2 linked regions of the Caenorhabditis elegans genome follow. The protein of the gene in region 2 purifies or fractionates together with the protein of the main gene of each other region. This does not show direct contact. Each region holds a gene or a part of one and is shown on either strand. Other genes may lie near its edges.

Region 1 (7,488 bases), on a different chromosome or scaffold from region 2:
CAAACCGTGTCGTCGTCAGTGACGAGACACAAACACAGGAAGTTTCGTTGAATATGTTGATGTTTCTGTTGACGTTTCGTTCCCTAGTTTTTAGAGATTGAGAGCATCTAAGGATTAAGGTTCAATGTTTCAAGATTTAAAGTTTTGAAACATAAGTAACAGAGTAAATGATATGATTTAGATAATTTTCTTATTTTTTAATCTGGCAAGCACGCTCAACTAACAAAACACGAATCCGACAATCAGTCAAACATCTTAAACTTTTTAAAAAATTGTTCATTCTTTATAAGAGCGAATTTCAAATTTAAAAAAAACTTTAATTAAGCTTCAGGTCAAGCAATTAGGCGTTATTATTAATTCTGGCAAGTTTCCGTTTTTCAGATATAATCATTTCAATTTCGATTCTTTCTTCAAAGTGTCTGGAAAAAATGCTCTTTTTTAATAATTTCGCCGAATCTAATAGTTCTAAAATTTTATGTTGAAACGATCAATTCTATAACAGTATATTCAAAAATAACCTCACTAAACTTGAATTTTTTCCAAAAAAAAGCATTCAAAGTGAGCAAATAGTTTTGGTAATACAGGTGGCTACAAATTTTCTGTCAAAATGTTCAATACACAAAGTGTGAGCAAGAGCAGAACCAGTTTTCAAACATATTGCTCTCAGTTCTCACTTTCATTTTTGTTTGTATTAGAGGCTCATTGAGCAATAGCAACTTGAACTTTACTTACTGTTTGTAATAGCTTAACTGTTCACATTTTTACTAAAACTTTGCAACCTATAGGTATACCTAATAATTGGGTTTTTCAATTTTGTATGAGAAATCACATCCCGAAACTGAATGGAAACTTTCTGATTAAAATGGATATCACTTCAAACATAGTGTCTTTTAATATTGTCTAAGCCTGTATGACAGTGATAATTTCTAATAAAGAGGCGCAGAGAAATTAGATAATGACCGATAATGATGAGATGAATGAATGTAATGATGTGGGAAAATAGATAATAGAATAAGAAGTGTGGGCATAATGATTTAGATGATAGAAGCGTTCAGTCTAGGAATCATTTCAAGTCAATATCACTAATTATCTCATTTATTTTTGTTCCTTTGATTTATTCGTTTTGGTAGGGCCGTTTCATCTTAAAGCGTATATTCAAAACAATTAAAAAATCGTTTTTGAAGTCTTCCAAGTAAAAATAAATATCTGCTTTGTGCCTATATTGCGCACCTATCATTTAATTTCTTAAATGGGGCGTAGCAATTTTGGACTTCTGCTTCAATATCTTCAAAATGATCCCAATAGACCGAATTTCATAATGTGACTCCTCGAAAATTTCTTATGAAGATACAACATTTTAACACTGTTTTCTTTCATAGTGTCCAACGCCTGCCTTTTTCCTACACTAGTTTTTTTTTCAATATCCTTGCAAGTGCACCTGCAAGAAAAGTTTAACAAAAGTTCTTAAACTTAAAAAAGTAGGTGGTAGGCAGGCACGTAGGTGCGCAGGTATGTAGCCAATAGATTCTCAAAATATAATTATAAAAACTCTGCATTTCTTTTTATTCATCCTAAAAGCGCATTCTACTCAAAACCCAGTCACATGCTCTATTCACAAAAGTCAATTTTTTTTCATCTGCTCTCCGCATAAACTCTTGCTTCCAATTTCCAGATGCATTTAATGTCACGTGCGTTCACTTTTTTCCCTTCAAGCTTCCAGAACAAAAAAGTCTTGTGATGTTTCGCTCAGAAATTTGTTTGAATAGATGATAATTGGATTTCGGTTGAATTATTTTTGCCATCGCATGTCCTTTCTTCAATTCTCAATTTCCAGTTTTCGTGTGATTCTCCAAAAGTTTCAAACATCATCCGAATTTTCTTGTTTTTCTATTATGTCACTGATTTCCTATTTATTTTTCATATTTTTAAAGTTTTTTTTAAGGGAAAATGAAAACGCCTGCAATTTTATTACTCCTATTCTTATTTATGATGAGTTTGGCACAAAGTGATGAGGAACAAAGTGGAAAGGAACCTCCCGAAAAAGATGATGTTCTAGTTATTCTGGTTGGTTTTTGCCAATGTTACCATGTCAGAAATGCATGCATGCCTACTTTCGGCACATCTTCGTTTTCTTTTCCCGTATTCTATGTTTTAATTTTCAGGCAGAAGACAATTCGACACTATTAAACAATAACCAAACAATGTATGACCCTTCTTCCGAAGAAAAAGAAAGTGACAAACCAAAATTCAATTTATTGGAGACATATTTACCACTTTTCATATTTGTACTCGATCTACCAACAGAGGATAGAGAAACTTTGAAAGCCTATGTAAAAGATAAAACTTATGAAAAACTGAAATATGTAATCGATTCAAAAGTTAAAATGAATCGAAATGAGAAAAATGTCTTAGGAAGAATCAATGAATCCTTGGTACAATCAATCGATAATTTGGAACATTTTGATGAGATTACTGTAGATGTGGTGAATGGTTATCACGTAAGTTTGACATTTCAATGGAAAATCATCTCTCTTTAATCTTTAAAATGTTTTATTTTCAAAAAAAACCTTAATATGACAATACCAAATTTTCCTTCTATAACTAAATTTCTAGAATGCCTCCGTATACAACGCAATCCGTTCAGTTTGGTTGAAACAATTACGTCCATTTCTGCCGCTAATTGATCAAATGGCCATTCAGCAGTATTTTGCACAAAGGTTTCAAACATCAAGCGTCTATCAAAAACTATGTTTATTTTCCAGAAAATCTTCTGAAACTGAGAAAATGTCAATTTGGGCAAGATTATGGGAAAATCTGAGTGTTTGGATGTATGGAAAGAAAAAATTAAACGAATGTTATGCAATGGAGCCAAAATGTGTTCGACACGCATTGGAATTGCTTAATTTTGAACAAAGGATTGATTTGGATTTAGCTGCTTATGAGAACAAGTTTGACAGTGTTGATGGAATTATTAGGGAAAGAGTGAGTCAATTTAGATATTTAAAAAATGTCAAAAGCCCCAAAACGAATTAATTTTCAGCTTGGCGAAAATCGGAAAAGCAGTGAACTCGACGAATGGTTGCACAGAAATCGCCCACCAAAAGCGCTACAAGCTATTTTAGATGAGCGAAGTGACATTGAGGAGGAGTAAGATATTTATATTGAATAGATAAACGTTAGATTTTTAGAGCTCTTCAACGCCTTCGAGATAACGGAGTTCTGAGCTCACTCAAACATTATTACAAAGCAGTTATAGAGTCAAGAAGTCATGAAGAGCAAGAGGTAACCAATGTTTTAGATAGTTCTTGTCAATTTTCTTACGCATTTTTCGATATTCTGCTAATGGGTGCAAAGTTCTAAATTGTTTTTAATTGTAGCTTTCTATATTAAACTTTCAGGACATTCGTCATTTCTTCGACATAATGAATGACACATTTGCTCGTTGCTTTGACCCACTACGAGGCCAGTATCATGATTTCTAGAAAAACCCTCTTTTTGACTTCTTCCTCCATTTGTTTTCAGTCTCATTTAAAGTTGGAGTGGCATCGGAATATTTTTTTTGACTATTCATATGGTGCGTAGAAACATTTTTTTCCAATTTTTTTCGAAATTCGTTGTCGGAAGCTGGGAATTCTCAGCTTTTGTGAACAATACTTTTGGTATTTGGAAATTGGTTTTTTAAAAAGTGTTTCATAACAGTACATTATTTGGTTGGAAAACCTAAATATTCCAAAGACATGCCAATTTACCGAATCTAAACATTTCAAAAAGTTTATTATGATATTTTGCCACGTAAACTTTTATGAATATTAAAAAAAAATCCCCCACTGACGCTGCTCCAGCTTTAAAATCTCAAACTCTTGCCACTTTGAATGCATATTTGTTCCCTCTTCCTCTCATTCTATTGTTACGTGTATTTTGAATTTAATTTCCTGTTTCATGTTTTTAGTTTGAATAAAACATTGTTCACTCACCTATAATTACAACGGAAGCAAGCCAAGTTTGCGAATATAATGAGGAAGAAGTATCAGAAGAATATTTTGATTTTTCAGGCGAATTCTTGGGTTTCTTTGCCATTTTTTGTCTGGAATTACAACAGCGTAAGAATTGAGAAAACAATTAACGAAAAAAAAAAATACTAAATCCGTTCTGATTAGTTAACAGCACAGAAAAATGTCAAGGAGAGGTTTTAGAGAGAGAAAGAGAGGGAGAAAAAGTGTGAAAAAAAATTAGTGAGGACTGAAAATATGTTATTTCTCTAGAATAGAGATTAGAGTTGAGAAAATATATGAGAAATAGAAGGAAAACATAGAAACTAGCAAAAAGGATAGGGGTGGGAAAATATTAAATTTTTCATTTACCTAAAATTTGATATTAAAATTGCGATAAAGTAGGTAAGGGAAGCGTGTCTTGTAGGCAGGTATTCTGTAGGTAAAAAATTCTTACCTGATTTTTGAGGTATTTATACCTATGCCTACTGCCAAAAAGTTTTTTTTTCAAACTTAAAAAAGAACTATCAAATGAATTGAAAAGGCAAACACCAAACACCAAAGTAAAAAATGCAAAAATGGGTGATTGGTGAGTAGGCAGGCATGTCAAGAGAAAAATAAAAAGTAGGTAGAACATAATTGAACTATGTATAATCTACTAGAATATTAAATAAAACGTTGAACTTTTCAATTTGCTAGCTGAAAATAATTTAAGTTGACTTTGAAGGCTTTGCACTTTTGGTAAAGCAATTTCAAATAGTGGGAATTAGTTTTTAAACATGAAAAAAGGAGATTATGAAGACAGACAGACTATGTTTATTGAGAAAAAAACCATAAAAGCTATACGATTTTCCATCGAGGCGTTTCACCAAGAGACTTCGATTTTTTTGCCCATTTTTCAAAAGAAAAATACTCAATTTACATGAAAATAAACACAGCTTGAGATACCTCTTTCCCAACGAAAAAAAAGGAAATTCAATTGTTCGAACCCGACGCTTTTTCTTTTTTCAGAGATTTTTGTTTAGAGAGAATGAAGTCACGGACAATTTGAAATTTTAGAGGGAATCTATTAGGGAATTAGCAAATAGTATGAACAAATATAATTAGAAAGGGGAAACTTGCAGGGTTTTGCAAAATTAAAAATTGTAGATTTTTACACTTCGAACAAATCCGGAACAGTTTAACAGTTTAAAAAAATGTATTTAAAACAAGTTAAGTTATTTCTTTAAAAAATTTCGAGAAATGTTTCAAGATTTATATATTTATGATTTGTTTCAAAAATATCCAAGAGTTCAGGGAAAAGCCAGAAAAATGACTCAACAAATCAGCAAACAGTACAAGCAAATACAACGAGCATTTAAAATATTTTGGAAGTGAAAACTAAAATTTCAAAAAAATATGGGAACACAACATGATAGTTTGAGTAAAACATTAACCGAATCCTCTTCCTCTACACATTGAATCCAATCCATTTGACAGGCGGTCAGACAGGTAGCCAGTTAGATAGTACTAGGGTTTACAGAGACGCAGACATACCGATAGAGAGTAATACACAATAGATCTGTCCTCTTCTTGTAGTAAAGAAGGAGGAGATAGAATTGAATGAAACAACACTTATTTATGCTTTATTCTTCTATTGAGATATTTTTAGAGAGTTTTGAGTGCTTCAAGTAATTTCAAAAAATTAGGTTTAATGATGGAGAAGCGTTGATGCGGATGATGTTTTGAAACACAACAAAGACTGGAATTTGGAAATACCACAATGGAAAACCGATAAAGATCGAGATCAACAAAATTCAATTTTTTCAAACTTTCTCAATTTCCAAACGATCTGCAGAGTGCTCAGTACTTGACAAGCTTAAAACTACAAAAACTCTGTGAAATCCGCCTTTGAAGAAATTACAGGCTCTGAAAATAGTGCGAATATAAAAACGTCAGTTCGAGTTTTCAGGCTGGTGAAAATCAAACAATTTTGGTTTTTTTTTCGAAATTTTCAGTCAAATATGGAATGGTAAATTTCCAATTGTTGGAAAATTGATTTGATTTGTATAGTTTTTTTTTGGAATGTTCCATACTAAAAATACATTTTCCATCTCTTGGCGTATATTCTTTGGATAAATTTTCAGATAAAATCGAAGCATATTCGATTCCTTCGGAAAAAAGTTCCAAATGGAAAAAACCTCTTCTATTGTTCAGGATTCTACTGAGAACAAAAGTTGATGTTTTTTTTTGAAGTGAGAACAAACCGAAAATGAAGATTGTATTGAGTTGACCAATGAGGAAAAATGCATTCGAGCCGTTTTTATTATTGATGGAGTTATTCGTTTTTATACGATACGTTTTGAGTTCTTGGGAAGAATATTTGTTCCCAATAGTTATTTGTTTGACTTTTTCCAAAATCAAATTTAGATGATCCATCTTTAATACAGAAATATCAATTCAATTAGACATATTATTATTTTTTAATATATTCCAGCAAACAATCGTCCTTCTTCACAAAAGTGCTCAAATTCTAATTGTAGATAAATATTTATTGAAATATTTATTCGGTGTACTGTAGGTCCCAACTTTTGTTACTGCGGAATTTTCATCTATTTTTCATAGTTTTCAACAAAATTGATTTCTTTATTGAAAACTAAAATAAAACACGTAGAAACAATGAAAAATAGGAAAATCACTGAAAATCCCGCAGCAACAAAAGTTGGAAGCTACAGTACTCTTTAAAGGCGCACATATTTTTTGCATTAAAAGAAAATTGGTCGTGTCGAGACCGGGCTCCGTATTTTTGGCGCGAAAATGACAATTTTTCGCGTCTGCGTTATAGTTCGTTGTTAATTTTGAAATTAAGAAGTGTGGAATCTTCTGTGCATTAATTGAATTAGAATTAAATTCATAGGCTTTAGTTTTCAGAAGCTACTGATAAAACAAGAAAACTATGAGCAAGCAAGAAGAAGAAATGCTCAACTAGTGAAATAATGTATTTTATAATAATTCTTCGAAAACTATTAGGCATTTCGATGAAAATGGTTTCTCATATTATTCGGCACTTTCTCAGTTTACACCGAATGGATTAGAACGAGTCAGGCATATTTGGACGGATATTTGTGCGAAACTTTCGTTTTTATTTCCAAATAAAAATGTTCAAAGCAATTGATATGTAACTGAAACTTTATCTGTGAATTAAATTTAACAACAATAACAAAAAAGCAGGAAAGATACGCTAAAAAATGCTAATTAAAAAAATACGATTAAAAATATGCATAATCAATTAAAGGAATCCTCTACAATTACGTGGTTCTCCAACTCCTACTCCACCGAAAAGACGTCTCTTGGTACTAGAATCCACTCTTTGGAATTTCGAGCCAAATCTTGCAGAAACTTTGGCATTTGGTTCCTTGGAATTATCTTTGAATCCCCGAATCTGATTTCTTTGATTTTCGTCCTGGAAAAATTATATTATTATTTAAAAAATTTTCTAACACTTTCCTAGCTTTTATGG
Region 2 (6,645 bases):
TTTTCCCTCCCCAGTTTCGTCTCCGCTTTCTCCCTCCCCATCAATCTTATGCACTTTGCCAACATCCTTTTTACTGATGAAGGTTTTTCCGATTTCAATGTTCTGAAATAAATGTTTAAAGGGGTTTTTTTTTTTCAGAAATACAAACCTGAGAAATGATTCCTTTGTTTTCTTTCAAATCATCAGACTTTTCGAAGAAGAATGCCACTTTCGATGCTGCTGTTGCATCCCACCACTCAGAATCAGATACAACGACTTCACGGAACATGTTGGCCACATAAAACTGGAAAAAAATATTTAAGTTTGAAAGGTTAGATTTGCGAGAATCGCACAAAAATGCTGTATTCAGAGATATCTGTTTTTTTTTCAAAGATAAAAAAAATGTTTTACTTTCTGAAAATTTTGGCCAAAAATTACGATTGGACATTTCAGACAGGGCTGATTCAACACTCAATCCAGGATATTTCAAAAATGAATTACTCATGAACTTTGTACAAACCTCTCCTGGAAGTTTGCCATTAACTTTATCTCCATAACCAAATCCAACTTCGATTACATAGATTTCTGCATCCGCAATTGCCCGAGGCTTCAGTTCCATCATCGAAGCACGTCCACTCTTTGGCCAAATGACAAGTCCGTTACGTGGCATAATGTACAACTCGAACTTCTCTTTGCAAATTGGAGCACGCTTATCATCCAAAAAATGTTCAGGATCAATGCAAAGTTTGATTCTAAAAGTTAAAAATTCCAAGTTAATTTCAAAGCATCATATCATACCCTTGTGTTTTCCCTTTCAAGTAGAGAAGAGTCTTCCAACTTCCCGCCTTCATCGTCAACTTGACAATATAATACCTTAAGAATCAATCTATGCGCCTTCTTGATTATTAAATGCACAATTATTAACTGCCATACAACAGCTTTCACTTTCTCACAAAATCCACATGAAAACAAACACCAGCCACAGCCAAAACGCAAAACAATTATCGATCAGCTGGCACTTTTTTATTTTCATTTATCTCAGCTTGACGTTCTCGGTTTTCTCTACGTTTTCCACCGAACTGCAGATTTGAGTGACTGGAGGATTGCTGCGGCTCTTTCATTTTACCATGTTTATCCGTGGAGCGCATTTGAAGCCCAAAAACTTTCAAGCTCCTGTCCAACTTATACTCACCTATCATTTTGATCTCCGTGCAACTTGTTCACAGCTTGTACTCTTTTGGTCGAGAATCACAAGTTTGACTGATTGACGAATGATGTTCAATTCGCAAAAAGAAGAACTGATTCGTTTTAATTCTGAATTGGCAGATTAACTGATTGATAACAATCTTCTACGTGGCAAGATGGTTTAGTAATCCAATGAGGCTTCACGGATTAATTGAAAAAAAAAATACATGAAGAAATTAATTAAAGAAGTGAAAGGCTATATTTTAACTTCACAAAGTGACCACGTTTCTTCAATTTTTTAAATACAAAAATTTTTTTAAACAGGGATTTGTTTGATTTGTTTGACAATGAGAATGTTCCGCCTCACTCACTAGTCAGCTACTCTTTTTTACCATAGCTATTAGGTCTCCAAATAAGTTCCGGGTCAAAAATCATAACTTTGTTCGCTGCGTATCAATTTTTATGAAACTTTGGGAATTTATATTATCAACCATGGTCTTTCATTTGACAATAGTCACAAAATTTTTTGACCACCCCAAGTGGCCTAACTCGGAGCCAATTTTTTCAGGCATTTTTCTGATCTCGCTTTTTTTCAGTTTTCAATTGAGCTTTGTGTGCGATTTTGCTTTGTTTAGAATACATTATTAGAAAACAACAAAAGTTTGGAAAAAAATCCGCCCAAAAAAATTTTTTTTGGTTGGTCGTCAAAAAATGTTCAAAAAAATTTTTGTCGAAAATTCTAGATTTTTCCTACAAAAAAGATGTAACCAAGTGTAAACTATTTTTACACATATAAATCATTTGAGTTAAAAATTTGAATCTCAAGAAATATTCAAAAAACTAAAAAATTATCCGAAAAAATTGTATTTTCTACTATCATTTTAGTGTATCGAACTAAATTGATATGTTTTGTATGTCTAAAAATAGTTTACACTTGGTTACATCATTTTTGTAGGAAAAATCTAGAATTTTCGACAAAAATGTTTTTGAACATTTTTTGACGACCAACCAAAAAAAATTTTTTTTTCTAAACTTTTGTTGTTTTCTAATAATGTATTCTAAACAAAGCAAAATCCGCACACAAAGCTCAATTGAAAACTGAAAAGAAGCGAGATCAGAAAAATGCCTGAAAAAATTGGCTCCGAGTTAGGCCACTTGGGGTGGTCAAAAAATTTTGTGACTATTGTCAAATGAAAGAGCATGGTTGATAATATAAATTCCCAAAGTTTCATAAAAATTGATACGCAGCGAACAAAGTTATGATTTTTGACCCGGAACTTATTTGGAGACCTAATATTTTTTTTTCTCGAAAATTCGTTATTTTTGAAAATAAAAATTTGAAAAAATAAAGATTTGAATGATATCCCAAAATATGTCTTACAGGCTTACATTAAATATGATTTTTCCGTTATATTTTCTTCTAATAAGCCTTACAACTTTTATTTTTCTGACTGTCCCGTTGCAATAAAGCCAAGGGTATGAAAACATTCCCACTGATTTCCCCGAGGTTCGTTTTTTTCTTTTTTTTTCTACCATTACAGCTTATCTAAGAAATAAACCTAAGAAAATAAAAAGAAATAGTATTCGTATCTTAAAATAAGCAAATTAATCTTAAATTTCTCTCAATTTTCCGTCTGCTTCGTTCCGAGACTCGCTCTTTAAAAGTCGGCAATGTCACACAAAATAAATTGAGACTGATGTATCGGATGAAAACGAGTTTTCAGAAAATCGCGGAGGAAGGGAAAATGACTCAGGAAAAGCGCTGAAAGATTTTGGCAGGTAGTTAAAAGAACGAAAAACCTTGATGCGGTCAATGTTTTAAGTGGCATGTTCTTTTATGCCATTCGATGCTTGGTTGTTTGGTCTTAGTTAAACAGTTTATCCTGGACGAGTTATATGTTTCAGCTCTTTTCACATTTTTGTTGCAATTAACCAAACCTATTAAATACTTATGCCATCCTTTCATATAATTTTAAAATAAATTTTTCTGTCACTTTGCCGCTCCTTTACTACCAACATTAGTACAACCCTTTTTACACTAAACAATTCTTTCGGTTATGGTTTATCAAACTAAATACAAAGTATTCTGATCTGTTAGACAACCGGATAATCCAATAGTTCCCTTTTTGCTCAGAATATAATGTTTAAATATTTATGTATTTACTTTATTTGATTTTTTCGTTAGGGCTTCAACTGTGAATGAGAAAAATTACCTCATGCAGATTCTATTTACTCAAGAGCTTTTTTCTCGGTCAAATACATAAAACTCACCCGTTAATGGTGTTTTCCGATACCTATCAGATGACCTATGCCGAAGATCGGAAGCCTTTATTGCGTCTGGATAGTGGTGAAGGTGGCGACATTGATGACTTGGAACATTTCACGGAAATGTTGAATCCCTATTGCACAACTTCAAATAAATTTTATTACGGAAAAAAGGGTTTGTTAAATTTTATTTTGTTTGCTTATTTTTACTGTTTCTAACAATGATTTTACATTTAGCTGGTTTTTGAAATTAATAATCACACTATAAAGTTTCATATTTGAGATGTTTCTGGTGGTGTTTTTCGAAAGTCTTTTTCAGCTATAGCATTTAAAATGGGAAGTTACTTCTAAATGTTTTATTTATTTTCAGAAAGGTATATTCCGAAAGCGGTTTTGGTAGTAATGGGCATATTTTCAATATGTTTCAGTATTGATAAATATCAAATATTAATGAAAGAAATTGAATCGAAAGAATGTAATGATGTACTGGCAGAATGCAACAATATACCTTTTAATCAAACATTTGTTCCACCATTTTATGATTATCTTCAAGATTTTACAGTAAGCTCCGCTAGGCCACAGTTAAATCTAAGCCCTTTCAGATTTCTCCTCGTTATGATATATCTCTTTGTCTTATTCCAAAAGTTGTGTCTACAATCGGAACTGCCGCAATATGTTACATACAAGATCCGGAGGCTTTCACCAAAAACAACAGAACAATATCAACGGAAATGTATGGTGGAAGGTAAGTTTGAGCGGTGTTGGTTCTCAGCAGTTACAGCTGGTTCCCAACTAAAACTGAATGAATTGAATGAAAATTTAATCAATTGCAGATTTTGCGAAAACAATGAATTGAAATCTTTTAAAATGGTGCAACGCAGTTTGAATTCTAACTTTGATAATATAATTTTCACACGAAATCCCTATGATCGGTTCATTTCAGGATTTACCGAGAAGTGTGTAAAGTAAGTTTAGATTTAGAGGATAATATCAGGATCTGCAAAATATAAATTTTAGTAACACGGACACAAATATTTGTCACGGATGTGGAACCGACATCCGATGTTTCTTGCAGAAAGAATATCGACGTTTAATTAGAATGAGTATGCTATTTCCTGTTTACACTGGAGCAGACACACATTTTGCTCCTCAAACTTGGTGAGTTCTCAACTTCATTAAATTCTTCATGCCAGGATTTTAAGCTGTCTTTTGAATTCATAAGAGGCTACAAGAAGACAAAAGACATAATGTCTCGCTAAGATCAAGATAACAGTTTTTGTCTAGCCTATTGCCTAATTCATGTTTCCATTTCTCCTAGTCATGAGAATCTTCAAAAATTTAAACCAAAAGATCGTTCAACGGTTTCTCAGGTACTGCGATATGAAAAACAACATCAAGAACTCAACAGTAATACAATATTCGAGTACGGGGACAGAAAAAATAAAGATGATTGATAATTTATTGACCGTTTTCAAAAATAGAAATGTACCAGAAGAAAATCTGAACGAAGTCAGAGAAGAACTTTCAAGTAAGCTTTTTTTAATTGCATTCTTGATTTCATTCAATTTCAACACTTTCAGAAGGAAAAACCCAGCACTCAACATCTGGAACATCTCTACGACTTAAATATGAAAAGCTTATTGAAGAAGATGGAGCTATCAGGAGAGCTTTACAGAGAATTTATTACTATGATTTTTTATATCTTGGGTATTCAATGTAGACGGGTTAAACAAGTAACTATGATTGACAGAAATCGGACAATTTTCCCCGGTGTTGCATTTCAATTGTATTTCCGTATTCTGATTGTTTCAACATAAACTTTATGTTTCTAAATACTCGGCATTTTGCCATAGAGTTCCCTCGCACTTCTACAGAAAAATCTGAACTCTTTGTGAACTCTGACGACGTGCGAGAGGAGACTGTAGAAGTGAACTCTGTGGCAAAATGCCGAGTTGTTTGAATTGAACAGTTCAAATTGGAATATGTTTAAAGTAAATTTTCCACAAACAAAAAATTGTTGAAATTGTTTATTATTGAAATCTATAAAACAATTCAATTGACAAAGATAGTCCTACGATGTGTATGATTGTGAAGAAGAGGTAGTTCAATAGTCGAACTTGTCGCACTTCTGGTCGACGGCGACGCGAACGGTGCGCTCCTCCATTTGTGGTTGGTCACGAAGGTTGCGGAGCTTGTGCTCTGGCCATTGGGCGAGTGGCTCACGGCGGATCTCGCGCATTTGACGGCGAGCCCATGAGTTGGAGGATGGGAGGCAGTAGACGGAGGTCTGAAATGTTACAGAATAATTGATTGAAATGTATAACTACTACCACCTTTTGCTTCTTGGACTCCTGTGACTTTCCGTTTTGGCAGCGAAGAACTGGCTTCTGGGTGAAGCAGATCTCGTGTTGACGCTCGACAATAGCGACTTGCTCAGTTGGCTCATCGTCTTGCTCGCGGCGAGATTCCTCGTAGTTCATCTCTTGGTCCTTCTCCTCCTCTTGATTTTTCTCAATGCGTTGGAAGTTCTCCTCCTTCTCGAACATCTCACGCTCGTAGTTGCACTTGGAGTCCTTGTACAAGTAGCTCTTGGCGAACTTCTGAAAATTGAGATGATTATTGTTGTGTATCAAAATTAAGAAACTTACTGGAATGGTGTTCTCTTGGTTCTCAGCATCATAGAATTCGGTTTCCTTCTCGTTGTCGTAGTGGCCGCAAAGTCCGCATTGTTGGTTTCTGTAGAGAGCGGAAAGGTGAATACGGGCATTGACTCCATCGAATTGAACAGTGACATCATCAGAATCGAACTTGAGTGTGTTCTTGTTAAGCCAGATGATGTTGTATTGCTTCTTCTCAATCTCAGATTCTGGTTGGTACTCGATTTCTTCTCCGTTGACACGGCAGATGAGTCCTTCCTCAGTCTTGTACATTTCAATCTCGTTTTCTCCGTAGACAACCTTGACGTTCTTCCACTCCTTCTTCTCGTTGATCTTCTTCATAAGGACAACGAAACGGGGCTCGCTCTTCTCAGATCCACAATCCTTGGCGAGAACGGAGTAGCATGGGGTGAATTGGTTACGGTAGGCAACTTGGTCGAAGGTGTTGATCTTGGTGCTCTTGACAACACAGTTGGCTTGCTTGGAAGCGTGATGGGCGATCTTCTCCATGACTGGCTTCTGCTCGTAGCGGGAGTTTCTTGGCTGGTAGTGGATTTGG

Evidence for each region.
Region 1: the proteins of K07H8.8 (region 2) and dpy-19 fractionate together in Caenorhabditis elegans (co-fractionation; one large-scale study listed by BioGRID). This does not show direct contact.

The regions. Positions count from the first base shown.
Region 1 is NC_003281.10:8,663,399-8,670,886, forward strand, and holds the start of dpy-19 (C-mannosyltransferase dpy-19), read right to left. Parts: upstream 4,085-7,488; 5' UTR 4,078-4,084; coding exon 3,975-4,077; intron 3,968-3,974; exon of another isoform or gene 3,483-3,967; coding exon of another isoform or gene 3,399-3,482; intron 3,283-3,398; coding exon of another isoform or gene 3,189-3,282; intron 3,148-3,188; coding exon of another isoform or gene 3,041-3,147; intron 2,983-3,040; coding exon of another isoform or gene 2,763-2,982; intron 2,718-2,762; coding exon of another isoform or gene 2,614-2,717; intron 2,499-2,613; coding exon of another isoform or gene 2,163-2,498; intron 2,065-2,162; coding exon of another isoform or gene 1,948-2,064; exon of another isoform or gene 1,940-1,947; intron 1-1,939. Other genes in the region: F22B7.1 (uncharacterized protein), read left to right, coding at 1,948-2,064, 2,163-2,498, 2,614-2,717, 2,763-2,982, 3,041-3,147, 3,189-3,282, 3,399-3,482; pgl-2 (P granule abnormality protein 2), read right to left, coding at 7,258-7,431. UniProt on the Caenorhabditis elegans protein: C-mannosyltransferase that mediates C-mannosylation of tryptophan residues on target proteins such as unc-5 and mig-21. Mediates the attachment of alpha-mannose in C-C linkage to the C2 of the indole ring of tryptophan.
Region 2 is NC_003282.8:8,265,256-8,271,900, reverse strand, and holds K07H8.8 (sulfotransferase family protein), read left to right. Parts: upstream 1-3,488; 5' UTR 3,489-3,552; coding exon 3,553-3,604; intron 3,605-3,799; coding exon 3,800-3,990; intron 3,991-4,031; coding exon 4,032-4,174; intron 4,175-4,262; coding exon 4,263-4,394; intron 4,395-4,446; coding exon 4,447-4,587; intron 4,588-4,799; coding exon 4,800-4,957; intron 4,958-5,009; coding exon 5,010-5,149; 3' UTR 5,150-5,257; downstream 5,258-6,645. Other genes in the region: K07H8.5 (uncharacterized protein), read right to left, coding at 1-102, 149-283, 500-731, 778-830; vit-6 (Vitellogenin-6), read right to left, coding at 5,534-5,716, 5,760-6,029, 6,078-6,645.